Alligator mississippiensis: one gene and its partners. The main gene of each other region encodes a partner of the protein of the gene in region 4 in a complex. Links are inferred from orthologs where the notes say so. Each region holds a gene or a part of one and is shown on either strand. Other genes may lie near its edges.

What was found.
Region 1: SMARCD3 (region 4) and SMARCE1 share a complex: the UniProt entries of both Homo sapiens proteins name them as parts of the BAF complex. The link is inferred for Alligator mississippiensis from reciprocal best matches to the Homo sapiens genes SMARCD3 and SMARCE1.
Region 2: SMARCD3 (region 4) and SMARCB1 share a complex: the UniProt entries of both Homo sapiens proteins name them as parts of the BAF complex. The link is inferred for Alligator mississippiensis from reciprocal best matches to the Homo sapiens genes SMARCD3 and SMARCB1.
Region 3: SMARCD3 (region 4) and SMARCA4 share a complex: the UniProt entries of both Homo sapiens proteins name them as parts of the BAF complex. The link is inferred for Alligator mississippiensis from reciprocal best matches to the Homo sapiens genes SMARCD3 and SMARCA4.

Annotation. Positions count from the first base shown.
Region 1 is NC_081827.1:164,023,451-164,030,494, reverse strand, and holds the start of SMARCE1 (SWI/SNF-related matrix-associated actin-dependent regulator of chromatin subfamily E member 1), read right to left. Parts: upstream 3,019-7,044; 5' UTR 2,928-3,018; intron 2,546-2,927; exon of another isoform or gene 2,522-2,545; intron 296-2,521; 5' UTR 247-295; coding exon 240-246; intron 1-239. UniProt on the Homo sapiens protein: Involved in transcriptional activation and repression of select genes by chromatin remodeling (alteration of DNA-nucleosome topology).
Region 2 is NC_081833.1:18,298,541-18,306,337, reverse strand, and holds the start of SMARCB1 (SWI/SNF-related matrix-associated actin-dependent regulator of chromatin subfamily B member 1), read right to left. Parts: upstream 3,004-7,797; 5' UTR 2,923-3,003; coding exon 2,830-2,922; intron 1,692-2,829; coding exon 1,580-1,691; intron 1,009-1,579; coding exon 979-1,008; intron 1-978. Other genes in the region: MMP11 (stromelysin-3), read right to left, coding at 5,591-5,724, 6,839-7,096.
Region 3 is NC_081831.1:23,547,665-23,555,508, forward strand, and holds the start of SMARCA4 (transcription activator BRG1), read right to left. Parts: upstream 3,017-7,844; 5' UTR 2,853-3,016; intron 1-2,852. UniProt on the Homo sapiens protein: ATPase involved in transcriptional activation and repression of select genes by chromatin remodeling (alteration of DNA-nucleosome topology).
Region 4 is NC_081828.1:220,570,351-220,577,176, forward strand, and holds the start of SMARCD3 (SWI/SNF-related matrix-associated actin-dependent regulator of chromatin subfamily D member 3), read left to right. Parts: upstream 1-3,825; 5' UTR 3,826-6,826. UniProt on the Homo sapiens protein: Involved in transcriptional activation and repression of select genes by chromatin remodeling (alteration of DNA-nucleosome topology).

The DNA of each region.
Region 1 (7,044 bases), on a different chromosome or scaffold from region 4:
GCTACCAGGTAAGCAGCAGTGCTGTGTGCAAACTCAAGCTCCACCCCCCCTCCCACCCCACATATAGTTGAATTCGCATAAGTTAAATGCGCGTATGATGCGACAGACTTCTATTCCTTTTAAAAAGAGCCTGATCCCATAGCCATTTATTATGTGACAACAACAGAATTAATTGTGTAAGGAAGGGCTACTAGATCAAGCTCTCCTTAAATAAATAAATAAAAAATCCAGAAACTTACTTGACATTTTGATGGACTGGACAAATTTTCAGTCAGCTAGCATTATAATTGTTATGCTGAAAGACAAAAAAAGGACACCATAACACTAAACATAAGTCTTTATTTTCATTTTATTTTTTAAACTTATACCATCATAAGGTATCTACTGATGGCATGTCAAACATATGGCCTGCAGAGCTGTCTCATCTGGCCCACAGGGCTCCTGGACAGGCTAGGAAAAAGGGAGTAAAGGACACTATCAAAATCTGGAATATAGAGTCCCAGTGGAAATTTATTTCAGCAGCAGGGGGCAAGTGATAGCTGCATTAAGCCCCCTGGCTCCCTGATGGTGCTTGCCCTGCTGCCCCTGCAACTAGTTCTAGCCTGAGAGCCCCACATCAAGATGAATGTGACACCCTGATATACTGCAATTAAAAATCATGGCTGCTTATACACGTGTTCATGGATGGGCATTTTAATGAGACTGGTTCCCAGAGAGTTGTTTTAGTTAAAACGCTGCAGTGTCACATGTATTAAGCCTCCACACATTTAAAAATGGCAGCAGGATGCTTTAACTGAAGCTCATTCAAATTAAAAAAAAATGTCTTTGTGTATTACTGTTTCAAAAAATTAAGAATACTGTGTGTTGGATTTCACTGATCTGGCTTCACTGCTGGCTTCAAAGTTCTGATGGTAGTGAAGGAGCAAGCAGGTGTGTATGATGTCTTTCAATCTTGGTATAACGGAAAAAGCAAGTGCCAACAGTGTCAGATACAAGACCATAAATAACCATGGGGAGATTGGCATATGCAACCACTAATAAACATGAGCTCAAAGAATGTAAATACTCTATAAACTAACAGCAATATCGTACTAACTTTCAGCATGGGAAATATCCCCTTGAAGACTTAGGACAACAAAATCTGGGCCTAGCCCTGTCAGAGTAACAGAGAAGTAGGGCTGGAAGGGGCCTCCAGAGATCATCTAGTGATTCTAGTCCAAACCCCTGCCTGAGACAGGATCACCCCTATCCAAACCATCCCATACAACCATGAACACCAACTATTACTGCTGAAATTCCTGATTCCTATTCTCATACAAAAACAGAAAAAAATCCCTACTGCAGGGGTGGGCAAAATACAACCTGTCGGCCAGATCCGCTAGCTAAGGGATTCTATGCGGCCTGCAGCAGGTCCCTTGGCACCACCCAGACCAGGCACAAGTCAGCTCAGGCCATAGCACATGCAGCTGGTCTTACCACCTCCAGGTGTGGCGGGGGGGGGGGGAGGGGGGGGGGGGAAGGGGCAGTGGCCGGACTCCACTTCCTAGCAGACCCCACATCGGTGGCTCCTTCTGGCTGCTGCCACTAGTGTCACCATTGCTGCTGGACCTGGTTCTGCTGCCCAGGCACCCTGGTCCGTCTGCCCCACACCCACCACCAAAGGTACTGGACAGAGTGGGTGGGGCCTCCACGGAGACTAACCTGGGACCCCTTCCGGGAGGGTGGGTTTGGCTGGGTGGGTGGGATGGGGTCATGGGCTGGTGGCGGGCAGCATCTGGGAGTAGGAAGGGGATCATGGGGTGGTGACAGCACAGGGCCAAGGCCCAGGGCAGAGGGATGTGTGGAGAGTAGATCATGGCTCATGGCCGCTCCTGGCTGCCACTTCCTGCCTACCTGTGGTCCCATCCCATCTGCCTGGCCAAGCATGCCCTGCCCAGGCATGGAAACCACAGCTGGCAGCCCCAGCAGTAGATGTGGGGCAGACAGGCCATGGCTAGACAGGAATAGCTGCCCTGATGCCACCCCCATCCTATTGTAAAGGAAGGTCCTGTCCTGCAGCAGCAGGAAGATCCTGAAACTTGTCAGATTTGGGGGCGATAAGGCCAAAGAACCTGCATATCGAATGGATGTGCACAGGTACTCGGATTTATTGTTATCGTTTGTAGTTGCTCAGTCAGAAGGTGGCCACCCAGGTGTGTTATTTCTGAACTAGGGGTTTTTATTCCCACCAGGAACACCAGCTCCCTGGAGAGTGGGACAGGGGACAGGCAGGGAGCTCCCAGCCACGTGCTCAGGTGGGGTGTGAGGGCAGGGAACCCAGGGCAGCAGCTGGGTGCTGCACCTCACATGAACCCAGAAGATGCTGGGGGTCACTCCCTCCAGCCAAACTGCGGTGGGGGGAGGGGTAGGATCACCTGGCACCGCCCATTCCAGGATGGGGCGGAGCAGCCCCCACCCCCCATTTTGGGCTACTTCCTCCCGGCTTGACCCAGGCCTACTCAGAGACCCTCCCCCCTCCGACCTGTCTTTGCAGCTGGGCCCGGCTGAAGCAGAGACCCGGGCGGGTCCCGCGCATGCGCAGTGCGCCCTCCCAGCCCCTTTGTCCCGGCCGCGCGGAGCCGCCTGCGCTTTGGCCCCGGCACTTTCCACACACGAAGTTGTCGCCCTTCCCCCACCTTTGTGGCTACCCCGCTTCTCCGCCCAGTCTCCCCCAGGCGCGGCTGGATGCGGCGGGAGCCTGGCGGCTCCTGGGCGGGACAGGCGCGGCCGGGCCGTGGCGAATCTGCGGACACTGCAGACCTGCTGAGGCGGGGGGGGGCGTGGAGGATTTCCCTCCCGGGTGCGCGTGGGGGGAGGGGCACCTATTGCCAGAGCCGCCGCGCTGCGGGCCCCGATGCGGGCGGAGGGGGAGGGCAGGTAGCACTCACCAGCTCCGGCCGCGGCTGCGGTGCCTTTGTCCCCGACGCCGCGCTGCTGGGCGAGCGCCGAGCAGGGGAGGAAGCGACCTGCGCTTCCGCCTCGGCACTTTCCACAGAGAACACCCCCCTCCCCCACTTTTCCAGCAACCCTCTCCGAGTTTATTCGTGTTGCGTCTCCCTCAAAAAGCACCACCGCGCCCAGGGCCAGGGAAAGCGGGTTATTTTTCTCTCTTTCCTTTTTGGCGAATCAGCAGGTAGGAAGAAGGTAAAGCCACGTCGGGGGACAGTTGACAGACGCGTGATGAGTGACGTCAGGCAGGCGGAGCGAAGCTTAGCTGATCACGTGTTAAGCCGGGGCGGGGTGAGGCAGTTGGCGCCTTTTTTGACCCGCGCCAGTGCTGTCGGGATTCAGCGGCGCTGGCGCTATTTCCACTGCTTTCCCCTGAGCCTTTTGGCCTCATCTGCATGGAGAGGCTCTCGAAGTGCCATACAGGTGCCAGGGTGATGCTGCCATGTTTGCTTATGTGATGGTGTCCAAGCCACCCTTGCCATGCCACCCAGCTCTCCTTGCAAAACAGCGTGAGGCGCACGTGTGTTGCCATGCACGGTGATGTTTCCAACACAAATGCCCCTTGCACAGTTGTCGTCAGTGAGGCACTTGGCGCGTGTGCAGCTCTTTGACTAGGTGATACCCCATCACCACACCTGTGAAGGTTGCTATAATGCAAAACCGTCCACTCGGGAGCTGCTGCATGGTTATTTTTTAGCTCAGGGTGTCCCCCCATAACATGCTGTGGTTCCCCTCTGCCCTGCTTTCTTTTCTCTGTCAATTATTATTCTAAAAAGAGGTGCCCAGGGAAAGGCGGTGCTGTAGGATTGGCATTTAGACCTGCTGGAGTGCCCCAGGGAAAGAAAAACAGCACCGCAATGCTACCTGATGAAGTGACAGTAGGCTTCACTGGTGAAAGTGTTGGGCAAAAGAGCACAAAATAGATGAACAGAAAGTTTAAAGCTGTACGGTGAGACCAGAGATTTCTTAAGACTGGTGCAAGTGTATCTTAGCCCCAGTAGGTAAGAAGGAAAACATCCACGACTGCAGAAGTTTCGGAGAAAGGAAGCTCACGGAATGAAGACGGGATGGAACGAAGCTCATGGAATGAGACTCCGGAACATGTTGCTGCTACGATTGGTTGAACCTTCACTCAGACAAGAATAGTTTGCCTTTAAGAAAGGGTGAGTGACTACACATGCAATTTTTATGATTGGCAAGTGTAATGAAGCCGTTAAAGTAATATCAGGAAAGCTGGGCTTTATGGGCTTAGGAAAAGCACATAATAAATTAGGTAAAAGAATACTCTCACCTGGGCTGAGGAACTTTGATGTGACCAAGAATAAATGGCATATATACAGATAATTTAAAATGATGATTTGACCTTACACGAATGGCAGATATGAATGATCTTATATGAGTGACAAATCCTCTTGAAGTTAGCATTGAACTGCATTAGGGGTTGGCCCTGTTGTTTACAATATTGCTGGAGATTGTCAGCAGCAAGATCCTCATGGGAGATGGTGAGATGCTTCTGTATCGGGGGCTGGCAATTATTTTGGTTGGAGGGCTGCTTACTGAGTTTTAGCAAGCTGTCAAGGGCCTCATGGGTAGCCACACCCCTTGACAGGTGCCCTGACACCTGGTCTTGGACCAGAAGTCCTGCCCCTCTAACCCCTGACCTTTGCCACCAGAAGTCCTTCCTCTTGCCCTTGAAAATACTCCTTTCAGCAAAGGTTTTTGCCATCTTGGAACCAGAAAAATACCAAATTATATTCTAAAAATCAAACATCTATAACATTCATTAATTTGATTTAAAAAAAAAAATTTTTTTCCTGATTTACATGTATTTGTGTAGTGTACATGGAGGTGATTGCACAATAGCTTAAAATGAAGTCTTATTCTTGTATATTGTGAAGGGGGTGGGTGTATACATGTGTGGGTATAGGTTTTTGGGGGGCTGGTGTGGGTATGTGGGGTGTGGGAGAGGGTGTTGATGTGTGGATGAGGGTTTTGAGGGGGTGGATAGCTGTGTGGGGTAAGGGAGCATCTGGGTGTGTGGATACATGGGGTGTGGGTGGTCACAAGGATTGTGGGGGGGCTGTATGGGAGGGTGGGTGGCTGAGGAGGGCTGTGGCATGTGTGGAGGGAGAGGATGGCTGTGGTGTGTGGGGGGGTGTGGGTGTTGGGGTTAGTATGTATGGCAGTATGAGGGGGTGTGTGGGTGCATGTGTATGGTGGGGGGTGTGTGGGGCTCTCTCCCTGCCTCATTGTGCATGCGCACACACTTTGTTCCATGCATGCGCTCTCTCTCTCTCTCTCTCTCTCTCTCTCTCTCTCTCTCTCTCTCTCTCTCTCTCACTGGTGCCCACCCGCTTGCTGCCACTCACCCCCTTGCCTGCCACCATCCTTTCCCCATTTTCCTGCCTCACCCGCTGGCTGGCTGCTCCGGCATCATGTGGTATCTGCTTGCACCGCCAGGACTGCAGGACTCAGAAGGAGCTGGCCCAGCCTTGAGGACTGGGGTGATCACCCGCAGTCCTCCCCTGCCTCCCTTTTTCTTAGCTGTATTTCCTGGAGGGAGGCAGGGTACAGCCCCATGGTCACCAGACCAATAGCCTCTTCTAGGCAGAGGCTTCCAGTTGGAGGTGGGGCCAGGCGGGTCTTGCTGCTGTGGCTGCTGGGTCCTGCCCCCCTAGGTCTTGCCACTGGCCCTTGGGTCATCTTTGACAGGCAGCCAGGGGCAGATAATTAATTTTCTAAATTTTTCAGGGGCTTCGCGGGCTGGATAGAATGGCTTGGTGGGCCAGATTTGGCCTGTGGGCCATATTTTGCCAGCCCTTGTTCTATATACAGGTGGCATATCCGTAAGAATATTCTATAAAGAAGACTCAGAGAAAATGGGGGTTATGCATCATTTCTGATGATGACAGATAAAAACTTTTCCATATTTGTTTTGATTGTGAGTTCTCATATGGCTATAGAGTCCAGGTTTTATGAAGAATGTTCTTCTACATACAGTTTGAAACATGTAAGATACACCTGTCCCATATTGGATCGGCACTGATATGAGGAAAATTGAGAGCATCAGTAATCAGCTTTTTTTGTCTGATGTGGCCGATAAATGCTGTGTGCATGCATGCAGCTGCAGTGCAGCTTGCAGGCAGCCAGGAGCGCAGCCTGGCAATGTGAGAGCAGCCAGGTCTGGCTGGTAAGTCTGTTGTGGGGGAAGGGGCAAGGTGGGAGGGAAGGTGTGTGTTGTGGGGCAGATTGAGGCCTCCGTGGTGAGGGAGAGAATGGGAGTAGGGCTGGGCAGGGGCAGGCACTGCCAAGCCAGGATGGGGCAGGTAATGGGACGGAGCTGTGGCTGGTTCAGAGGGTTCGGGGGTGGGAGGGGGTGGCTCCTGCCACTGCATGGACCCCAGGAGAGCTTGGGGGTGGGGCGTGTGCCCCTGGATCTGTGCATGGGGCAGGTGGTGGTGGCACTGGGAGGGAGGGTTGCAGCCATCCTAAAATTCGCTGTAGCCTCCGCTCCCAGCACTGCTGCCATGCACCCCAAGCACAGCCCAGCTCCCCCTCCACTGGGAAGAGCCCAGCACTGCTCTAGCCTGCAGTGGCAACCCACCCTCGCCCTGTGCACAGATCTGGGGGCACACGGCCTCCTGGGGTGTGCACAGCGGTGGGAGTGCCCCGCACCACCCTGCCCTTGCTGGGCAGTGCCTGCCCCAGCCTCAGCCCTACACCCTCCCTCACTGCAGGGGCCTTGATCTGCCTCTCCCACGCCCCTTCCCTTCCCCCACCACAGACTTATCAGCCAGACGCCTCTCTCCATGCTGCAGGGCTGCATATTGGAATCAGATTGGTATCAGCCAATATGGCTCGTTAAAAATTAGTCATTGGTATTGACCCAAATTAGTGTATCCCTACTTAGATTGACCTAAAAGTGGTTCTCTCCCATGCTTCATTTGAGCTTTCTTTTCTTCTGCTAGCTGGGTAGAGAGTTATTGCAAATGTAATTAGACTACTCTGAATAAGTTTTCACTACTCTCTTTCTCATACATATCCTGGTCCCAAGTG
Region 2 (7,797 bases), on a different chromosome or scaffold from region 4:
ACCCAGTGCTTCTAGAGCAGAAGGCTAAGGCCTATTATTAGAGAATCAAGCACCACTTTTTGTAAGGACAAAAGGAATATCTTGAGCTATTTAATAACAAACCTTAATATTCCTGCAAGAAAATGACTGGAAATGTCCAAGTCCTCATTAAATATTAAATCTAACGTGCATCAGATGAAAATGTCTTTTATCCTGGAGTTCCCACTGTAGATATATAAAAAAAATCTTCTTAATCTGCTTACCTGGGACCACACCTCAGCAACAAGTTAAAGACCACTCTCTTTGTTCCTTCTTTTGAACATAAAATGACTACAGACAGGAAAATGAGCTGACACCTAGCTTTACTCCTGTACCATAAATCCACAAGTGCCATCATGGACTTAAGACCTGATGCTCATGTAGCATCCTTTAATGAGGTGCTTGATTGCTCCCACTGCAGGACAGAGACATCCTAGAAACTAATGAGGCCTGGAGGGCGGGCTAGAAAGGAGACAGAAAGCTAAATGCAGAACAGAGTTCAGAACAATCCCATGCACCAGCATAGGCTGGGGGCTGACTGCCTGGGCAGCAGCTCTGCAGAAAAGGACCTGGGGGTTACAGTGGACAATAAGCTGAATACGAGTCAGCAGTGTGCCCTTGTTGCACACACTAATCAAAAGCATTAGTCAAAGCTAGACTCCACTGCAGACAGGACAAGTGCCTGTAAAAACCAGGTAAAAACGAGAACTGGGAGACTGGTTGGCAGCCCCCCTCATATCTGGAGACAGCCCACAAAACCCACACATAAGTTTGTGAACAAACACAGTCGGTACAACCACTAAGAAAAATACATCCTTCTTCAAGGCAGCAAGAGCCAAAGTAGAGGGCAAACGAGTCCAATGACCCAGAAGAGGCGAATATGCTTGTACAGCAGTAAGGGTCAGAACAGGGATTCGTTGTCCAGCAAAGCTAAGAATAACATAGGCTGATAAGACTTACATCTTCTGGGACTGTGAGACCGCTGTGACTCTATTGGAAAAAAAACAGAAAGCGACAAGTCAGCAGGAAACTCAGAGGAAGGAGACAGAAGCCTGTTATGCTCCAGGCCTGTTGTTTCTATAAGGTTATGTTTCTTTTTTCCAAAAAACCCAAAAAACTCAAGTAGCTTGTTCTCCTTCATGAGAGAAACAAGGAAACAAACTCCTGAGACAACAAAATTTTGACTTTGCTTTGTTCCTATTGGTGCAGTTCTCGCATTACAACAGCTCTAGAAGCTGCGACCATTCACACTGATCTTCCCATCTCACATGGAGAGATCCCAGAGAGGAGACAAATCAGAGGGATATTTTTTTTTTTTTTTCGAACAAGCACCATGACCCTCCTGCCCTGTTATCACAGGAGCAGCGAGCAAGCAGACTAGATTAGATGCTTGCTACAGCAAATGAAATTCACCTGAGAAAAGTCAGAAAAGCCTTAGTCTCCTGGCATTCAACGAGAGCTCCCTCAGGGGTGGGGGGTGATTAGATGGTTTTTGCCCGGTCCCATTCCCAGACACTCCTTTTGTGCATGAGGTGTTAGGACGAGATGCTCGGGGCCTTACCGTGAGAAGATGCGACGATTTTCTTCCTCTCTTCCACAGTGGCCAGCCGCCTCCACAGCGAGGGGTACCGCTTGTACAGGGAGCCCCGGAACATGCGCAGGTAGTTCCCCACCTAGAGCCCAGAGCGTGGAGGTTCGGTCTGGGGGGCACCGCGAGCCAAACGAGGCCCTTCCCCCCCCCCCAAATGGTGGTGGTTGGTGTGGGGGGGGGAGGGGCAGCTCTTTCACCCCCATCCAGCCTTGTTCATCAGGCCCTGAGCCCCGTGGGGCTGGCGGCCTGTCTGCCAGGCCCAGCAGGGGCTGCTGATGGCTCGGAGTGCCCGGAGACCAGGCGCTGTCATGGGGAGTCTCCCCCCTCATCTATCCTCACTCAGGGGTTGGTCGGTCAGGGGCCAAAGTGTTTGTGTACAAGAGAGTGTGTGTGAGCAACATGACCCCTGCCCCAAACGGGGGGTGCGTGTGTGCACCCATCGTGACCCCCTGCCCCAATCAGGGTGTGTGTGTGTGTGTGTGTGTGTGTGCCCATCGTGACCCCCTGCCCCAATCAGTGTGTGTGTGCCCATCGTGACCCCCTGCCCCAATTGAGGGGTGTGCGTGTGTGTGTGCACGCGCGCGCCCATCGTGATCCCCTGCCCCAATCAGGGTGTGTGTGTGTGTGCGCCCATCGTGACCCCCTGCCCCAATCGAGGGGTGTGTGTGTGTGTGTGCACATGCGTGCGCCCATCGTGACCCCCTGCCCCAATCAGGGTGTGTGTGTGTCTGTGCCCATCGTGACCCCCTGCCCCAATCGAGGGGGGTGTGTGTGTGTGCGCATGCGCACGCCCATCGTGATCCCCTGCCCCAATCAGGGGGTGTGTGTGTGTGTGTGTGTGCGTGCCCATCGTGACCCCCTGCCCCAATTGAGGGGTGTGTGTGTGTGTGCACGCGCGCACCCATTGTGATCCCCTGCCCCAAACGGGGGGCGTGTGTGTGTGTACCCATCATCGTGACTCCCTACCCCAATCAGTGTGTGTGCACGCATGTGTGTGCCCCCACCGTGATCCCTTGCCCCAAACTGGGGTGTGTGTGTGTGTGTGTGTGCGCGCGCCCATTGTGACCCCCTGCCCCACTCAGTGTGTGTGTGCGCGCGCCCATCATGACCTCCTGCCCCAATCGGGGGTGTCCAGGCGGTGCCGGGGCGCTCACAGCCCGTCTCCCCCCCACCGCAGGGCGCTTCCCGGCGCGGCCCAGCCCGGCCCGGCGCGGCGGTACCTCGGAGCCGATCATGTAGAACTCGCCGTCCTCCTCCAGCTGGAACTTGACGGGCTTCTGCCCAAACGTCTTGCTGAGCGCCATCATCATCATCGTGGCGGCGGGGACGGGACGGGACGCGGCAGCGGCTCGAGCTGGGCTGGGTAGACTGCGGCCTGCTCCGCGCTCTCAGTGCGCACGCGCCGCCCCGCCCCCTCGGGCCCGCCGGGTGGGCGGGGCGGGGCGGGGCGGGGCGCGCTGTGCGCTTGGCAGCACTCGTCCCCCCAGGCTGGTGCCGTCGGTCCCCGCCGGCTTTCCCAGGCCGAGTCCCGCTGCACGCGGCGTTTGCCTGGCTCGTCTGGCGCCAGCCGGCAGCGGGGGCTGCAGCAGCGCCGAGGGGTCGCTTGGTTGGTGCCGCAGACACCGGGGGCTGGAGGGAGCTCGGGCCGCATCGAGTGCAGCCCCTGCCCGGAGCAGGGCCGTCCCCAGCGGCATCGCCCCAGCCAAAGCTTTGCCGAGCAGGTCCTTAAAAGCCTCCCAGGCTGGAGATCCCACCCGTCTCCGGGCAGCCTGTCCCAGGGCTTCGCCCCCCTCCTCGGCAGGAGTGTTTCCTAATATCCAACCTCAGCTTGCTGCGACTAGAGACCCTTGCTCCTTGTCCTGTCACCTGCCACCGCTGAGGACAGTCTGGCCCCGTCCTCGTGGCAGCCCCCCTGCAGGTGGTTGAAGGCTGCCCTCAAACTTGCTCCGTCTTCTCTTCCGTGACTAAATGAGCCCAGTTCCCTCGGCCTCCTGGTGTGTCGTGTCCCCAGCCCCTCAGCCATTGCCTCTGCCTTCTGCTGGACTCTCCAATTTGTCCACATCCCTTTGGGGGGCTGCAAAACTGGACACAGTCCTCCAGATGTGGCCTCCCCGTGCTGAGTAGAGGGGAATAATTATCTCCCTGGATCTGCTGGCAACGAGCAATTACTAGCAGCTCTGCAGGGGCTCCTCAGGCTTTGCCTGTCCTCAGTGTTTGCTATAGTTTTCCTTCACTTTTTTCTTCAGCACAAGGCCATAGTTTCCTGCCTACATCCTGATCAAAGGCCTCTAAACACTACTGCAGTGATATATATTATTAGGTGAGGATAATTGGTAGCCACAACTGCTGCATTTGATGAAACTGGGTCAACTGAGCATGTTGAGACCTGGTTACAAAAATACCACTTGCGTTTCCAGCTCCGTCACTGCCTAAGACGAGGTCTCGAGTTGGGACCGGTTTTAAAGCTGTTGTTGATGTTGAGAGACTCAGACCAGGCAGAGCATAGAAAAGAGATCACGTTCATTGATACAGCACAGCATATAAATATATACACAGTATATATAAAAAGGGTTTATACACATTTTACAAACATTTACATACAGAAGAAGAACGGCTGTAGAAATGGGTACTGAGAAGACAAAAACCTTGACCTGAAAAATGAATGAGGTAAATTTGTAGTGCTTAGGCAGACCATGCAGGCTAGGGGTGGTACAGGCCATGTAGCCACATCCCTTATTTGCTGTGGGTAGGTTTAAATCCCACTTGTCTCTGCTGACTAGCTCTGAAGGAAAGCTGATACATGGAAAGGATAACTGAGTAGGTCTCAACCCCCTCTGGACTACCCTTCCCAGGACAGTTGGGAAGAGCAGTAATGGGATGTCGTCATGCTACCTGGGACTGTAACAACCAGCAAAAGTTTGTTTTGTTGATTTCTTTTTTAGATCCGTACCAAGCATCAGAAATGATGAGATTGGGAAGCAGATGCAACTGGAATGAACTGGAGAGATGGGGCGAGGGCTAGGAATGGCATGGATGAGAGAGGTAGAAAGGGGGAGGAACAAAAAAGAACAAAATAATCATCGTTTGCACAATGATTTGCAGTGATAGGGAGAGAACAAAGAGCTGAACCGAGACCTGGACATTGGCCAAGTGCAGTTCTGAAATTGGTGGTGAAGTTTCAGACCCTCCGCAGGTCGTGTGGTGATCTAGTGTCCTACTGAGACTCCCAGAGTTAGTAACAATACATGGAGATACAAGGCAGCGTCCAGCACTGAAACCTAGCATCTTTTTTTTTTTCTTAAAAAAGTATGTAGTATTTTCACAAATCCATATAAAATGAAAATACATACTTAAAATGCAATACAAAAACAGAAGTATCACTAGACGTGGAACAAGATGCTGAAATTCAGGAGCCCACCCCGTCCTGTTGAAGTAACCCTGGCAACATGGGCACATATCTGAATTTCTCAACACATAGTCAACTGACTGTTAAAACTCCCAGCCAAGGCTAAGGAAAGGATTATTGATGGAATCTGTTCTCACCAATGCAAACATCAGTAAGCGAAGCCCCGCTGTACACAATGTAAACAAAAGAAATACCAGTGGAATCCCTTTTCTAAGTGGATGGTGTCCAGATAATTATGGAAGCAGACCCCATTCCAAGTTGGCTTCTTGTCTTTAGGATGTCAGTGCCAAAAAACTGTTAGAGCAGCCACTCGACCCTTAATGCAGGCAGCTGGTAGTCATCAAGGCTGCAGTCATCTTTAATGTCTATACCAAGCTGTGAGTACAAACTCCTGGAATCTAAGGTTTCCACCTTAGACTAACAGCTGCCTCAAGCCACTTGTGCCACCTATGGTGTTAAGTGATGAGCACGACAGGAGTGGGGTTTCTTTGTCAGAGTGTGGGACATCTCTTGAGGTGACTGGTGGTGATGTGTGAAGGCAGGAGAAGAATCTGGGGCCATTAGCACCCCTTTCTTCATCGGAAGGAGTTGGAGGAAGGTGTACAGCTGAAGAAGTCCTGGCTGATCTGGCGTGGGTAACCCTCTAGCACTTTCACCTGAACTGGGTCGAACTTCCAGTAATGTCGGCCTCTCAGGAAATAGGCAAAACCTGTGGAAATAGAGTGGTGAAGTGTCAAAGGAGACAGAATATATACTACTGACAAGACCCTTCGTTTTTTTCAGAGGATGAAGAGCCACACCAAAGGCCAGAACACTAAACAGCAAAGGAGGGTGAGCAGAAAGCTGTGCATGTCAGTCGTGTCACCCAGAAATGTTCTTCCCATTGTTTTGCTTCACTAGGTTAGCAAATCAGGCTGCCTTTTTTAAGTGTGGTACCAATAGGGGAGGGAGGTGAGGAGAGAAATACAGCCTGAGTGGGAGATAAGGGCTCAGAATTAGACCTTTACTCGATATGCAAGTAGGTGTAGGATGGTGGTGATGGGAATCTGTTACCACTGAGAGATGCCCTTCCCTTGAGATTCAAGCCACTACTGAGAGTTCAGGCATAATGCTGATTATGAAGGACTCCCTTGGAAGGAAAAGATGTTAGGGTTAATGCATCTCTTGTCAAGTGCTCCCAACATATTTCTGGATAAAGGGTGTGGCATTGCTCTGCCATTTTTTAGCAAAGAACCCCAGTGTGGGGAACCAGATGATAATGACAGTACTTCTCTGCTATTCTGAGCATCCTCCAAAGCAAAGGAAGTGCTGTTCATAATGCTGGTATGCATTTTTTCTTTGTGGAGTGTGTACAGTGTGGAAGTTTTCCTTGTGTTAGTCTGTAACCTCGTTAGATTACTGATTAATACAAGCATTGATCAGTGCATATACAGCTTATATAAACTAAGTCATATAAACTCACGTGACTAAGAGAATGGAGGGCAGTATTGATTTAGAGTCTCTCTAACCAACAAAATATGTCTACATGGTTCTCCTTGCATTTTCTCCCAAAGGATGCTAATATCCAGGAGGCTACAGATGCTTAATTACTTGGTCGTCTGCAAAGTTTATTACAAATGCATCAGTCACATACACACTGGACACTGATTTCACGCTCAGTATACATAGTGTTCATATGTGTGCATTCATGTGTTTCTTTTATGAATGCTAATTTACACATGATCCTTACACTCCAAATCCTGCTGATTCCCTTCCCACTGAAGAGGCAGGACTAGGTGAGAACACACATGCAGGGATATGTGTCTCCTCCTTTCTGTACTCACCAGTCTCATCCTGGAAAGCAGCATCAATCTCCTGAGGGATGCCACGCCAGTCAGCCATTGTGCGGGGGTAGACGTTGTCCACCTGGCGGGCGCTAGGGTTGAAGCGCCAATAATTGCCTCCCTTGAAGAAGTAAATCTTGTTCTTTTCAGTCCCCCACATCAAGGCTGCCTGGACGGGAGAAGTAGAAAGGCCTAGCTCCGTAATAGGTGCAGGGCCAGAGACACGTCTCTCACCATCATAAATCCAGTACTGAGGGCCTGATGAGGAGAAAAAGGAAGAACATGTAAGGGCAGGCATGATTGAAGGGAATGTCCTGTCTAATGTCTGTGCAGTGGGATGTGCCAGCATGTCAGCCCAGTTGAGGGAAAGCTGTCCATGGCAGGGAAACCACTGCCACCACCACCACAGGCCCCTTTGCTGATAGTGATTGGGATGCTGGGCATCAAAGGGACAGGGATAAGAAACACTCATCTCACCCCTACAAAAGGCTGTGGTTGTGTCAAGGGGTGATGTGGAGAGAACTTGCCTACCTGCTGCCTTTCCTTTGCCTCTTTTGAGAATTAAGGGACTACTTCAGTCTCCAGTACTTTCTGTCCACACTGTCACATGGTGCCAACCCCAATGGGGTCAGAGTCCCAAGTGATGAATCTGTGTAACATGAAAATAAGCTTCTCTCTCCCCTTCCAGTTGGTGAAGACTTGGCTGCTGGTTATTGTTCTAAAGTGGCTATTGTGGGCAGGCTGCTCAAAGGAGCATGGTTAGGATTTTGCTCTGTGTGTGCTGAGAGGCATTTAGTACCCACTGCATTATCCCAGCTAGTGTGATGATATAGAGAAGTGGGGAATCAATGACGTATTGTTGCCAGGAATAAACCCCAACTCATCCACACCTTGGTATATTTTATTCTCTCTGCCTATGAACCTGAGGCTGCCAGGTGTGGGGAGAGAAGGAAAATGAA
Region 3 (7,844 bases), on a different chromosome or scaffold from region 4:
GGTATTATTTATTACATGCAGTCAGAGATCTCAAAGATTTTAACACTGTAATATTTGGGTCAAGATTTTCCACAGTTTTACATAGAAAATTGTAGTATCTGGAAAGCCAAGGGCATTTTGTAAATGTTCAATTGAGAGGCACCTCCTTCCATGAGCTGTCCTGAGGTATATGCCTTGAAAAAAAAGCATATTATTCAATTAATTTACAAGGACAGTTAAAGACAAGCGCCACAAACAACAACAAAGACCCTGCTTTAAAACAATAGACTACATTGTTAGTGGCAGCCTAACCAAGAAGGAAGAGCAACCCACGCTGAAGCAGGAGATGAAGGGAAGACAGTTAAAATCCACTCCTGATATCAGGGCACCAGGGAACAGGGAGCATCCTGTCAATTGTCAATTGATTTGTAATAGTTGGTCCTGCTGAAGAAGGAAATTAATTTGCATTCAAATGTGCTTTGTGCATATCATTAAAAGTGGGGGGGAGGGTTTTTTGTTTTTTTGTTTTAACTGAACCCTGGGAGAAGATGCACTGTAAACCTGCAGCCCCAAATTCATGCAGATGAGGTGGGAGGAAGGGGGGATGACTGTGTGACAATGGGCTTTGTGTGTGGGGTCGCATGTGTTTCTGTGCCTAGTCTGTGCAGCTGCTACTGTGAATGGTGTTCTTCTCAGCCCCCTCCCCCAACACGAGAATGGGCTTTGTGTGCCTGTGTGTGCATGGGTGCACATATATGTGCATGTAGGGGAGCACCCTCCCCCACGAGATAGCAAGCCTGGGCAATGGGCAACAGCTTGGAGGAAGGGGTTCCTGGTCCCTCCAAGAGCAGAGGTGAACTGACTTGGCTCCCATGGGTTTCTTCCGCAGGCTTTGGCATTATTTTTACTGGTAGAAACTGAATGCAAAAAGGGCTGCGAGTTAGGGGCCTGGCCTCAATGGTGACCCTCATGTCACCCATTCCCCAGGGAACAGGAGGAGTAAGGGACCAGTGCAAACACAAGGGTTGGGTGGGGGAAAGTGATGACTATGGGGAGGTGCTCATTGTCAGGGTAGTCTCCCAGAAATGAGATGGGGAAAGGCTGAATGGGGGCAGAACCCCCCTAGGGCTGGTGGTGATGCTAAACCCAGGAAGGTCCTCTGTTATGCTGGGGGAGGACAGAAGGGGATGAGGGTAGAGATGCTGATGGGAAAGCCCACTCACCTAGGATGGGGAAAAGATGTTGACAAAGGAGCAGTTCCCTTGGAGGGGATGGGGGGCAGATGGTGATGCTGAAGAGCAGGAAGAAGGTAGGTACTTCAAGGGGGGGGGGATCTTAAAAGGGCAGCTCCCTTGGGGGAAGGATGAAGAAGATATTGTTGAGGGGGAACACACTGGTATTCTGGGAAGGATGGAGAAGAATCCCACTAATAAGTGGGGGCCACAGGTCAGTGTGCTGGGGGGGGGGGAAGGGATGAGGATGCCAAAAGGAGGGGATGAGCTGAGCTGCCCCTCCATGGGGTATGAGGGAGGAGAGACTCCCCCACCCTGTAGGGTATGAGAGGGTGAGAGATGGTGCTAGACGAGGTGGGGTGGTCTGAACCCTCAATGGTGGGGAGGGATCTGGGGAAGGGGAATGAGCCCCACAAGGGCTGGGGAGGGAGACAGCAAAGTCTTCAAGATTGACAGAGGCAGATGCTGCTGGGAGGGGGGCAGAAGCAGGGAGGAGCTGTGTTGGGGTGCTGTATGCAGAGACCCAGGGGATCTGGGCGGAGGGAAGAAGATGGGAGATGCCAAGGGAGAGGCAAGCAGAGCCCCCCATGGGGTGAAAGAGGAGGGAGATCATTCAGTGAGGCATGGAGGGGGAGAGGGCCCCTATAGGGTGTGAGGTGGGAAAGACAGAGATGCTGATGAAGGAGGGAGGGCTCTGAGCCCTACGAGGGCAGAGAGGGTTACCAAAGGCCCCAAGAGCAGATACTGCTAGGGAAGAAGGACTGGGGGGGGCAGAGAGAGGGGATCTGGGGGGAGAAGGAAATGGAAATGCCAAGGAAGAAGCAAGCAAAGTCTCCCTATGAGGTGCATGGGAGGGGATCCCACAGTGGATCATGCAGTGGTGGCAGGATGGAGACTGAGCCCTGTAAGTGCAAGGAGGGGGGAAAAGGTTGCAAAGCCCCCAGGAGGGGACAGGGCAGCAATGGTGCAGAAGGGAGGGAGGGGCTGGGGGGGGGGGGGTGCAGAGTGCCAGGCACCTGCAAGGAAGTTGGGATGCCTGGGGAGGGGCCAGAAAACCCCCTGATAGGGGTGTGGGGGGATCCCCTCGGGGGGAAGGAAGACCCCGACACAGTGTGAAGGGGAAAGAGATGCCTCTGTCTGGTCAGGACAGTCTGAACCCCCAATAGGGAAAAGAGGCCTGAGCCCCATAGAGCCTGGGGAGCCACGAAGCCCCCCACGCGGGCACAAGGACTGATGCTACCAGGGCAGTCGGGGGGGGGACGGAGGGGGGGAAGGGGGCTGCACAGACACGGGGATCCCCCCCACGGGCTGTGACAAGGAGGGGAAGAGATGCTGACAGGGTCTGAGCTCTCAATGGGGGGCAGGAGACCCCTCCCGGGACGAGGCGGCACGTGCCCGCGAGGATAGGGCCCCGAGGGAGGAGGGGCGGGGGCCGAGCCCGCGTGAGGCGACGCTGCGGCGATGCCCCCCCCCCGCCCGGCGAACAATGGTCCCGGCCGCTCCTGTCGCGCGCGCCGAGGTGTCTTGACCCGCCCGGGCCACCGTAGCCCCCCTCAGTGCCTGGCCCGGTCCCATTCCATGGGGGGGGCCGGCTCCGCGGCCCCCGCCCCCCGCCGCGGCCCCCCCGCCCACGGGCCTTACCGCGCCCGGCGCCGCAGGAGCCGCTCGCACGGTGCATCCCTGCCGGGGCAACGGGGGCAGCGCGCGGGCTCGTGCCGGGGGGGAACAAAGGAGCCACCGCCGCCGTGTGCGAGGGAGGCGCGCGCGCACGCGTTCCCCCTCCCCCCTCCTCTGCGCGCGCTCCCGCCGCAGCGCGTCCTCGACCAGCGCCGCGCGCGCGCGCCCCCGCCTCGGCTAATGGGAGGGGCCTCTTTGCCAGCCGGCCGGCAGCAGTCGCGTGCGCCCAGGGGGCGGGGGAGAACCGAGCCAATCAGGAGGGCGAAGACAACATTTTCGCTCTCCTTTGACCGAGCTTTTTTTTCGCCCCCCGCCGCACCTCCACCAATCGGGGGCAGCGGACCCTCCCCCTCGTGGCTCGGCGGCCAATCGGGGTGCGCTGCGGGGGCTGCCACTCTCTCCCACCTCCCTTCGCTCCCTTCCGCTTCGCGCTGACCCCATGCAGCTCCAGCCAATGGGGGTGGGGGGGGCGGTGTCAGGCCGGCTTCGAGCCGGGCTCGCTCCTCTAGGGCGGAGCGAATGCCCTTCCCCCCTGTTCCGCTGGGGGAGGAGGGAAAAACTGCTGTCGCCGCGCATGCTTAATGCTAGCGCCACTGCGGCGAAGGGGAGGGGGAGGGGAGTGTTGGAGAAGGGGCTGGTGGCTGAGGGAGAAAGGGGTGGGGGAGGGGCGACTGGGAGAAAAACGGAGTGGGAAGAAGGGAGAGGAAGGGGTGAAAGGGGAGTACTATGAGGGGGAAAGGAAAGAGGGGGCTGGAGAGCCAGAGACTGGGGGCTTATTCTCTTGACACCCCACAGCCATCCAGGGCTAACGGCTTCTCTGCCAACCCTCTCACCTAGGCGGGGTCCCAGGCTGAGAGGCACCAGGCTGCAGCTTGGTCTAGTCTCAGGAGAAAGCCCATTGTTTGAGACAGGGCTGCCCTACATTGCCCTGGCAGCCCGAAGGGGATGGTGCTGATGTGCCTAGGTAATCCTGGCCTTCCCAAAAGGCTTGATGAACATGTGCTAATTAAGCATCTTGGCTCTTCTGAGAGGCAGGTAAGGGATACCCAGGGACAACTTCCACCTTTGGGTAGAACTACCACTTGTTTAACAGCGTGGAAAAATGCTACATAAATTAGAGTGAAGGATGGGACACAGCTCTGCACCTAATTGAAATGGCAGAGCAAGTTAGGGCATCTTAATAAACCAGCCCTTAACAAGAAGTGCCACTGTGTGGTGACTAGCTTCTAAGTTTGTTGGGGGTTTTCAGCCTTGGCTGAAAGATAATCTCTGCTGCAAGACAACACCCCCTCGCACCACATTTGGGCATTGATTCAACAGGAAAAGCACTCCATTGACTCACCATGACACTGTTTGACTTGTGAGAGCAGATAGGGTCAGGGATTGCCAAAGGCATTAGCTCACATTGCCGGTTCCAGCCAAGGCCCACAAGGTTCAGGGCAGGAGGATGATGTATGCACATGTGGAATAGTTACTTGAGGTTCTCACATGCTTGTGAATGTATTTCCCAGGAGTGTCACCACCTGACTTCAAGCTGCAACCTTTTGGATCCCACCCAAAAACAGCCACAGTTTTCCTCCCACAAAGCTCTAGACGCACATGCTCTACTTTATTTATCCTTCAAATAGGAAAAAAAACCAGTCACTGACACGTCTCTTATTCCCAGCCTAGTCCATAGTATTGTAGTCTACACCAACTGGAATCTGCTAACTGATCAATGCAGAAGGCAGCAAATGGACAAAGTATCCCTGTAGCTAACTAAAGAAAGCAGGGTTCTTTGGGAGGTGGGATTCAGTTGGAAATAATTCATATTTTTTCTAATCTGCTTTCCTAATTTTCTCTCATCTTCAAGGCTTAATAAAAATAGTTCTAAATCATGAAGATTTGGTGCCTAGGTTAGAAATCAGCTCGGTTTTTGCTTAAGGATGGGAGGGAAACACTTAGTTCTTTCCACAGCAAAGGCTTCTGGAATGTAATCTGGTTCTGGAGTTCTTGGATGCTTCAGAAGGATGGTTAACAGGTGGGGAGGGGATAAATAGAACCCCTTTCTAGTCATGGCATAAGGACTGGGAAATGGGGGGGGCAGACTGTAGCAGGGGAGGACACAGCTAAGACCATAGCTTTGCTGCAGCTCATGGGCTAATTCTGGATAGTGGCCTGATCAGATACAGTCCCTGGAATGAGTATGTGCATCTTTTCCTACTACTCACATCCCATTGCTGTGTTTAGGGTAAGCCAGCTGGAAAAAGGAGAGAACAGAAAGAAAATTAAAGAAGAAACACTGCAGTGATCTAACTAGGCAGACGAGAAAGGGAGGCCTTGAGAGAAGGAAAAAAGCCAGTATAAAAGGAGAAATCAGACAAAATATTGTAAAGGAGAATTATTTGGGAAGGGGACATATGTAACTGGACGTCTCTCACCAGCTGCTGATTCTGGTTTTCTGAGGTTTCTTCTTTTTGTTTCCTTTCTCTACATCCTTCTCTCTCTCTCTCTCAAGGGGCTTGAAATGTGGTTATATGCCAGACTTATAACTCCCTTGTGCCAGGCCCCTTCAATTTGTCCTGTAGAAACATACAAAGAACGGTTAAGATGAGCTCAAGTTTGTATTGTAGCTAAAATGAACCCAGATGGTACTGTAATTTCCATTAAAAAAAACCCCTCACCAGCATTTCCAGTGGAAGCATTTTTCCCAGACCCTCCCTGGGAAGTGTCTGTTCAATTTGTCTATCCATTTTCAGAAGTTCCCAGCACCACTGAAAAGCCGAATAATTAGAACGGGAACTGCTTTCCTTTCAATCCCACAGGGGGCCACGTTTCTGCAGTGGATGTAGTGTTCCCATCTGAACGCCTGCTGGAATCCTCCTTGAATGACAGGCGCTAGATATAAAGAATGCCTATATAAACATGAAATTACATTATTTATTCTATGCCAATTAGTTTAAAAGTTGTCTTCCTTAAAGCCGAGCCTGACAGAAGCCAATAACCTGATCATTTCAGCTAGCATGAAAAAGCTTAAGAGGTTGCAGACATGCTGGCATTGAGTTATTCAAATCTTTCCTCACCAAGTTCATTCTTGGAGAAGCACTGATATTAAGCTTCAATTAACATGCACGTTATAAATTGAGCTTTACAGAAAAACATGCCCAGAATGCCTTATTCTCTTCTTTTTTTTTCCCCCTCAAAAATTAATTTTCACTGCAGTGAGGAAGACTATTGATTCTGCTGTCGCGTAATATTGTTCCCCCCCCCCTCTTTTTACAAAGAGAACATCAGTGCTTGCTCCAGATTAAAAAAAAAATAGAAAAATCTGAAAATCCTACCCTTATTAAATGAGCATAAATCAACTGCTGACTCTTGAGGTGGAAGATTTGCATTTCCTCAGATGTCTTTAAGAATGCTAGTTGCTGGTGCCAGAGAGCTGCTGTTGGTATGAAATTTATGTGAAGGGAGAGTCAGCCCAACATGTTTATTGCCTATTGATTTTTCCCCCTCCTTTGCCTTTCATGACCACTATGTAGTCTGAATGCATATAAATTACAGTCGCCTTTCACAGGAGCAAAACAGCATTAATACATCACAGTAAGCCCTTATGTAGCTTTACATCTTCAAAATGCTTAGGTTGGCAATCTCCATTTTACAGGTGTGTAAACTGAGGCACTAATTCCACTGACCAAACTGCTACTTGTTGGGAGAGCTGAAGATACACCAAAAAAAAAAAAAAAATGGTCCTGAGTCTCAGTTACTTTCTGCTGTCCAGTGGCACATTCTAATCGAAAGCAAAGGGAAGGTGTAGTGTGTGAATGGGACAGGGTGATTTCACTGAGGATTTGTTTTTGGTGGGTGGACTAAATATTTGATTTTCTGGGCTGTGCTTGTTCCCTAGGTGTGTAATCCATAACTTCCTGTCTTTATTCTGGTCATAGTGACTCTTTCGGTCTGTTTTTCACATGGTTTCTTGGTACATAAATATTCAGTTTTTATATAACCAAAAAACCATTCTCTTATAGATCTAAACACCCTAGCACTATATAACAGCTCCCCCCCAACAATCCATACGTCTCAAGCACAACAATCCATATATATATATACACACACACACATACACACACATATATATACATATATAGCACATATGATACTGGAATACAGGGCCTCATAAACTCCTGTACTGTGATCCTGCCTCTACAAGGAAGTAATGTATTTTCTAGGATTTACTGAGCCCTCAATTCTGTTATCAAATGTGTGCGCTATCCTTCCCCACAACATTATTAATTCTAAACTAACACAATACAAATATTCTAAAAAGGGTTATAGGTTGGACACAGGAAATTACAGGCCATTTATTCTGACACTGATTCCAGGTAAAATCATAGAAAAGCTGAGACTATGCAATCCATACAGAATTAAAAGATGGCAGCATAATTAATGCCAGTGAACATTGGTTATATGGAAAATAGGGTTTGTCAAACCTATTATTGTTTTTGATGAGATCACAAGTTCGGTTGATAAAGGTAACTGTGCTGACATAATCTACTTAGACTTCCATAAGGCATTTGACTTAGTCCTGCATGACATTCTGACTTTTAAAAAAATTGGTAGTATACAAAAATCAGACTATACTTAAATGGATCGAAAACTACTTAACTGAAAGATTGTAAAATATAATTGTAAATGGGAAGTCATTGTCTGTTAAGGCTATTTCAAGTGGGGTCCTGCAGGGATCTCTTCTTTACCCAAATGACATTTGGTATCTTTTATCACCCATTCAGAAGCAAATAGAAAATTTGGAGATGATACAAGCATAATAAGTAATGATTGGTCAGTTACACAAACCAACTTAGACCATTTGAGTCTTAAGTATTTTAACACAGCCAAGGTCATACATTTAAGAACAATGAACAAAGGTTAAAATTATACTCCAGGAGAATATATCCTGGAAAACAGTGACTCAGGAAA
Region 4 (6,826 bases):
ACAAAACGAAGGAGGGAGTCCTGGCTCTTGGTCAGGAGCCCCAGCAGCTTCAGCCACCTCTTGTAAGTGTCTCAAGCGCCAAGCACCGGGCGAAGGCGGCTGTGACCACGTCAGTCCCTGCCCAGCCCTTCTCCCCGCACCGTTCTGGTTAGGGATCGCGGCACCTGGAGCGCGCGCTCGCTCTGCCAGACGGCGCTGGGCGTGCTGGCGCCGGGCCCAGGAGACGAGCCCGTTCTGCGCCGGCAGGCTGAGGAGCAGGAGCGCGGGGCAGGCCGGCAGCAGGGCCGGGTGAGGGGCTGCTGCGGAGGCTCGCTGCCCGCCAAGGCCCGGTGGCCTTGCCTCTGGTGGCACACCGGCAGGCACTGGTCAGGCCTCGCCCCCGGGCAGGCGTTAGGGCAGCACTTCCACGGGGCGGCTGCGGGGCCGGGTGTCGGGGCGGTGCTCGCCGCGCCGTGGATGCTGGCGAGGCGGCTGCGGGGCCTGGCATTAGGGCGGTGGTTGCCGTGCGATGGATGCTGGTGAGGGGCGGTGATTGCTGTGTGGTGGACACAGGTGAGGGGTGGCTGTGGGGCCCGGCGTTAGGGCGGTGCTCGCCACACGGTGGATGTGGCTGAGGGGTGGTCACAGGGCCGGGTGTCGGGGCGGTGGTTGCCGCGTGGTGGACGGTGGCTGGAGGGCGCTGAGCAAAGGGCGGCTGAGAGGCCAGGTGCGGGGGCGGTGGTTGCGGTGCGCTGGACGTGGACGTGGACGTGGGCGCGGGGCGGCTGCGGGGCCTGGCGTCAGGGTGGCGTTTGCCACAGGGTGGATGCGGGCGCGGGGCGGTGGTCGCGGTGCGGACGTGGAGCGCGGGGCGGGGTGCGAGGGTGGTCGTGGTGTGGTGGCTGGGGGGCCGGGGCGCTCCCGGCCTCGCTCGGGCCCAGAGCCGCGGCGGGGCCGGGACCCCGCACCGGCACCCCCCGAGGCGGGCGGGCGCTCCCCCGCGGCCGGGCCGGGCCGGGCTCCGGGCGCGAGGGGGTTAAGGCGCCCGCCCCGCCCCTCCCCCCGCTCCCGCAGCCGGGCCGCGCCGCGCCGCGCCGCGGGCTGACCTTCACGGCCCCGCGCATGCGCCCCGCGGCTCCCGGCCCGGCTCGGCTCGGCTCGGTTCGGCGCGGCCCGGCAGCTGCGAGCGCCACGGGGCGGGCCCGGGCGGGCGGGCGGGGCGGGAGCGGGGCGCGGGGCCGCTGCCATTCGGCGCTTCGGTGGCTGGAGCCGACGTGGGGCGCCGAGAGGGGGGCTCCGCGGGCCCCGCGCAGCGCCCGGCCCGGCCCGGCCGTGCCCGCCAGGCCTGGGCGTGCCCCTGCGGTGTCCTGCGTGTGTCTGCACAGGACCCCGTGTGTCTGTGTGCGTGCAAAACCCTGCTTGTTCATGCAAGTGTGCACGGGATCCCACCTACTGTCGCACGTGCACGCGTGTGAGACGCCACGTGCCGACGCGTACCTGCGCTCCTGCCTGTTGGTGGGCGTGTGAGACCCGGCGCACACGTGCGCGCCTGGTGTGCGGCCCTGCACGCGTGCCCCACCCCGGCGCATGGGGGACGCAGGCCGTCCAGCCTGTTTGTGGCGAGCCCCCGCGCCGCGGCAGGGGCCGGCCGCGCCATCAGGGCCTGGAGCCGGCCGCGGCCCCGTGCCCTCCCGCTGCCCCGGGCGGCCTGGCCGGGCTGGGCTAGCGCTCCCTCCAGAACGGCGTCTCGGCACGTGCAGGCAGGGCCGGCCCGCTCTGCGGGCGCAGCAGCTTGCGCCCCCCCCCCGTGGAGGGATCCAGGGAGACGGCCCCAGCATCCTCTTGCCGCGGAGGCGGGAGCGTCCCAGCCGTGGGCGCGGTGCCCGGCCACGAGGAGCGGGACGAAGGCAGGGAGGGCGCATCCTGCGTCGGAGGATGCTTCTGTTGCAGAGACGTGGGCCTGGTGCTGCCCACCAAACAGGGACCCGGAGCCGGGGTTCAGCAGGACGGCGGCCTGCCACGCGCTGCCCAGCGCCCCTGTCCCCCCGGCTCCTGGAATCCCCCCAGGGAGCCCCACGCAAGTGCCGGGGTTGAGCTGCCTGGTCCCCATGCCTCGGGGTGGGAGCTGCGGCGCGGCGCGCTTGCAGCTCGTCCAGGGTCTCCTCCACGTGGTTCTGGCTGCAGCAGTTGGGTCAGCGACCGCGAGAGATCGGTCGCTTCCCGGCTCCTGGACAGGAATTGCGAGCAGGAGGGAAGGATAAACCCTCCTGTAACCTGGCAACGTGTCTCTTGCTGTGGCAGCAAACCCTGGCAGGCTGCGGGCGCATGCGGAGCTGTCAGCGAGCAGATTGCTGCCCCAGGCCACGGCTGCGGTGATGGAGGAGCCAGTGCAGCGGAGCGCAGAATGGCGGCCGCTCCAGCAGCCCGGCAGCACCCGCACCTTTCCCGCCGGCTTGGGCGCTGGGAGCAGGCGAAGGCTGTGAAACCCATCTTCCCTCCTCTTCTGCTGCCCCATCCCTCCCTTCTCCCCTTCCCTGGGCGTGGCGGGGCGCGCCGCATCCCTGGGGACAACGTGCTTTGTCGTGCACGTGAGGCTTTGTGTTGCACGCTGCTGCCGCTCACGCGGGGCAGCATGTACAGCGTTAATGATTTGTCTGTGTGCATCCATCCATCACGGGGGTCTGTGACAGGGCTGGGACAGTGGGCCGCGAGCATCTCGAGGGCAGGGCGCCTAGCCGGGGAGGCGATCGGGATGCTGCGGGCAGGCAGGCGGGGAAGCCAGCCACACATTGTGCCCTGCCGTCGCCATGCTGCGCTGCCTCCTTGGCGCACGCTCCCCCTCCGCCTGCCTCCCTCTCCTCACACTCTTTCCTTCCCCTCGCTTGCGCGCTGCCCTTCCTTTCCCCGGATTTCTGTCTCCTGCTGGTGCCGCGCTTGTCCGGAGGGGCTTGTTCTTAGCCTTCTGTGCTGGAAATCCTGCCAGTGAATGTTTCTGTGCTGCCTGCCACGTCCCTGGGGAGAAGGCCTGGGAATGCAGTGCTGGAGGAGACCAAGACAGCTATTGTTCCCCACGGCTGCCGGGTGCTTTCTTTAGCTGGCAGAGCCTCCCTGCGAGCTGCTCCATGTCCTTGCCGGAGCTCCCCCTGCACCCCAGGGCCCAGGATCCTGTGGCGCTGGAGAGGAGAGGCTGCAGTGCTGCTGCTGGAAGGCTCAGACGTGTTTTCAGTTTGCCTCCCGCTTATCTCTGCTGTTTGGACAGAGAGGTTTAAAAGGCTGGATTTTCTGTCCCTGCAGAGTAAACACACAGACCCGGGCAGCACAAACTATTTCTGGCTTATCAGTTGAGGAATGCAGCAGCTGAGGATTAGCGGGAGTGGGCCGTCAGGAAGGCCCTGAAGGGGCCCCCTCCCCACTCCGCTCTATTAGAAGTGTGAGAGCCCAGCAGGACTCAGAGGGGAGAGTTGGAGAAAAAGGCAGAAAAGGGAAAGAAAGAGGCAGAGGGAGAGGAGAGAGGCTGAGCCGACCCGATGGCCACGGATGAAGTTGCCGGCGGGGCTCGCAAAGCCACGAAAAGCAAACTTTTTGAGTTTCTGGTCCACGGGGTGGTGAGTCGGGAAAGTTAGAGAGCTGGCTGGTGCTGAACAGAGGGATGAGCGAGCCAGGCGCCAGGGCTGGGCTGGGAGCAGCCCTGCCGTGTGCCCTGGGTGCTGGCTGGCGGTCCACGCCGCGTGGCAGGAGCAGGGGATGGGCCCAGCTCCGTGGGCAGGCGTTGGGGTGAGGTGTGCAGCGGTCATTGCTTCTGACGCTGTGGGAATGGGGGGGCGGGTTTGCTTCCAGACCGGTTCCGGGGCAGGGGCCAGAGCGGATCCGACCCCTGCGGTCTCGCAGGGCGCCTGGTTCTGCAGTTCAGCTCCTGCTGCGTGCAGGGATGCTGGGAAAGCCCTGTGCCGCGGGGCGCGGGACTTGTCTGTGGACTTGGCTCTCGTGTGTCCCCTGGCTACCTAACAGGTGACTTCCAGGGGCTCCAGGAGACTAGCTGTGCGCTCGTTGCTGGGGAGCCTCAAGCTGCCATACTTTGGGCACCCTCAACATCCTTGTAGCCTTCCTGTGGCCATTGGAGGCCTCCTGACATTCAAGGGATTGCCATTCGTGAGGGCATGCCTTCCTCCGCCTTGTGTGTCCCTCCGGGGCTCCCAGCAGTGACGGAGAACAATTGCAGCTTGTGACATTGGGGTTTCTTAAGGAGACGTCAGTGTAACAGAAGGCGCAGTGCTGGGGAGTCTGAGGAGCGCGAAGGCTGAGTGGCTGTCAGAGCTTGCGTGCACTTTCTCTTGAGGACCTGGGATCTGCTTGCAGTGGCACCCTCTTCCAAGCCGTCACAGAGGGCTCTGCGTTAGAGTCCAGCAGCCCACGGTGCTGCCCCTTTGGCGGCCTGGCTCTTGCCCTCGGTTTGCTTGCCTGGAGCGTGACGTCTTTGACAAACCCCCGAGATGGGGCGATCCGGACCTGCCAGCCTAGGGCAGTGTGAGCAGCATGCCGTTTATATGAGAACAGCATCCTAGTGACCGCGGCACTGGGGACCCGCAGGATTAGTGACTGGCAAATGAGCACTGGTTGTGAGCAGTGCCCTTGGTCGTACAGCTCGAGTCTGGGGGCAGGCCAGCCTGTGGGGTAGCACGCCTGCCAACGGGCAGGCCTGTGCAGCAGACTGTGAACGGGGGGTGACCTAAGGGTAGAGCTGAATGCATGGGGCAGTCTGCTGGCTGGCACATGCGGACGGCCTGTGGGGCAGTGCAGCACGGGGTGGGCATGTGAGGCGGCCTGGGAGTCGGGAGCACGTGGGTGGCCTTTTAAAGGGTCAAGTGTTCTCTTGGCAATGACAGGCCAACGCACTCCCTTCAGTACCGGGGACAATGGCTGAAGCGGTGGTGAAGAGACCCCCTCTCACCTGTGGGTGGGTGAGGGGTGTCAGGGTCAGTCATAGATTCATAGATGCTGGGGTCGGAAGGGACCTCAACAGATCATGGAGTCCAACCCCCTGCCTAGGCAGGAAAGAGTGCTGGGGTCAGATGAGAGTCAGGCTGAAGTCAGGCTTTCTGATGCAGAACTGGGCCTCTCCAGCGCTGGAACTGCCTGAGGATGTTGACAGTAGTGGATGACCAAAAACTGGCTTCCGCTGTGTGCTTGGCCTTCCAAAGAGCCTTTGCTGTAGTTTGTCGCCATGCAGGCGGCATTGGAGACTGGCTGCCTCGTCCGCGAGGGGATTGCAGGCTCCAGCATCGCTCCGCGCATGTGGCTGCAGTCAGGCAGATGTCTGGGGCGGAGGTCGCTGGTGCCGGTGTGGCACAGCTCTCCTCAGAGCAGCCCACTGCTCCTTAGCAAGGCCCCGCAGGCCTGCCCCAGCAGCTTCTCCTCCCACTCCCTGGGCAGTGGAGCCCTGGCATTATGTTGTGTGTTTTCCTTTTACTGCTGCACTGACCCTGATCTACTCTTTTAGTTCCTTCACCTCCGTTCTTGCCTCCTTCCTTGTCCTTCTCTGGACGTGGGCACAGCCAAGTCTCCTCCACCAGAAGGAGAGTCTCTCCTGACCTCACCTGTCTCGCCAGCCTGCGCTCCTTCATCTCTGCTCTGGCCCCTGTGCTCCTCCATCTCCGCCTCCAAAACGACTGAAGGAGCCGTCACAGCTGCTGCCTGCGCTCTCATTTCTCTAGCCACTCGGCCTCAGGCTGCAATGGGTCATGCAGTTTCCGTGTAAAAGCGAAGGCAGCAGCAGAGTCTCTGATAGTGTCCATGAGGCTGTAGCTCTTGATATGGGGGCAGAAGTGCTTGAGGTGATAACTGATGAGTTTTCTGTCAGGGAGGGGCGCCAGTGTCCTCAGCAGTGTTGTTGCCAGTGGTGGAAAGGATTTTGGAGAGAAGACTCTTGCCACATTTCCTGGGGACTGAGACTGGACTTCCCGAATCCCTGTCGGCACACACTTTGTCACCAGCTCTTGTGTCATCGTTCTGGGCTCTGCCCCTCTCCTCCATCTCTGGTCCTGACCCTCTCTTTGCTCTACCCCAGTGATCCTCAGCTGGGCGGTACAAGACCCTATCAAGGGTCATGCACATTATGAGTCCTGTTAGGTGTCCAGACACTTACACATGATTCATAAGATAAACCCAGAGATTTCAAACAGGAATCCCCAGCATCACAAACTTTCAGACCTGCTGTGGTCCCTCTTGCTTTCTTGTCACAGAAGAATTGCTCTTATTTTTCCATGGTCGAGAAATGAGTGACAATGAAGAGGTGGCATTTTCTGCGGGGGCCTGGAGCCTCACAAGGTGTGTCTTGAGTCTGGAAAGGTTGAGAACCTCTGCATTATCCAGACTGGTCTCGTGATGGGCAAGATCTTGAAGCCTGTGCTGTAGCCTCATTCTCCTTAACTCCATGATGGCCTTTGCTGCTGACAACCACACCTTCCTGAAATCGCTTTCTTGGCACTCCTGTCCTTTTATGGTCCCTGCCTACCTCAAGCCTGCTTTAACAGGTCCTCCTCAGCCTGTCTTGGTGGACACCTCTGAAGGCCCTATCTCTGGCCTGTCCTTTTCCCCTCTCTGCACCCTGTTTGCAGTGCTCTGATCCAAAACCCTGCCGGTAACCATCTTTATGCTGATATACCAGTCTGCTGGTCAGCTTTCTCCCTTCCTTTAACCAGTAGCACATTCTCACTTGCCTTTTCTGGCATCTGTTCTGGGTGTCCAGCCATCAAGTAAGCTCAGCTTGAATAAAACAGAGGTATTAATCTCCTACAAACCATCACCTTTCTACCTGGTGCTGCCCCGGCCGGTCGCGTGGACCTCCTCT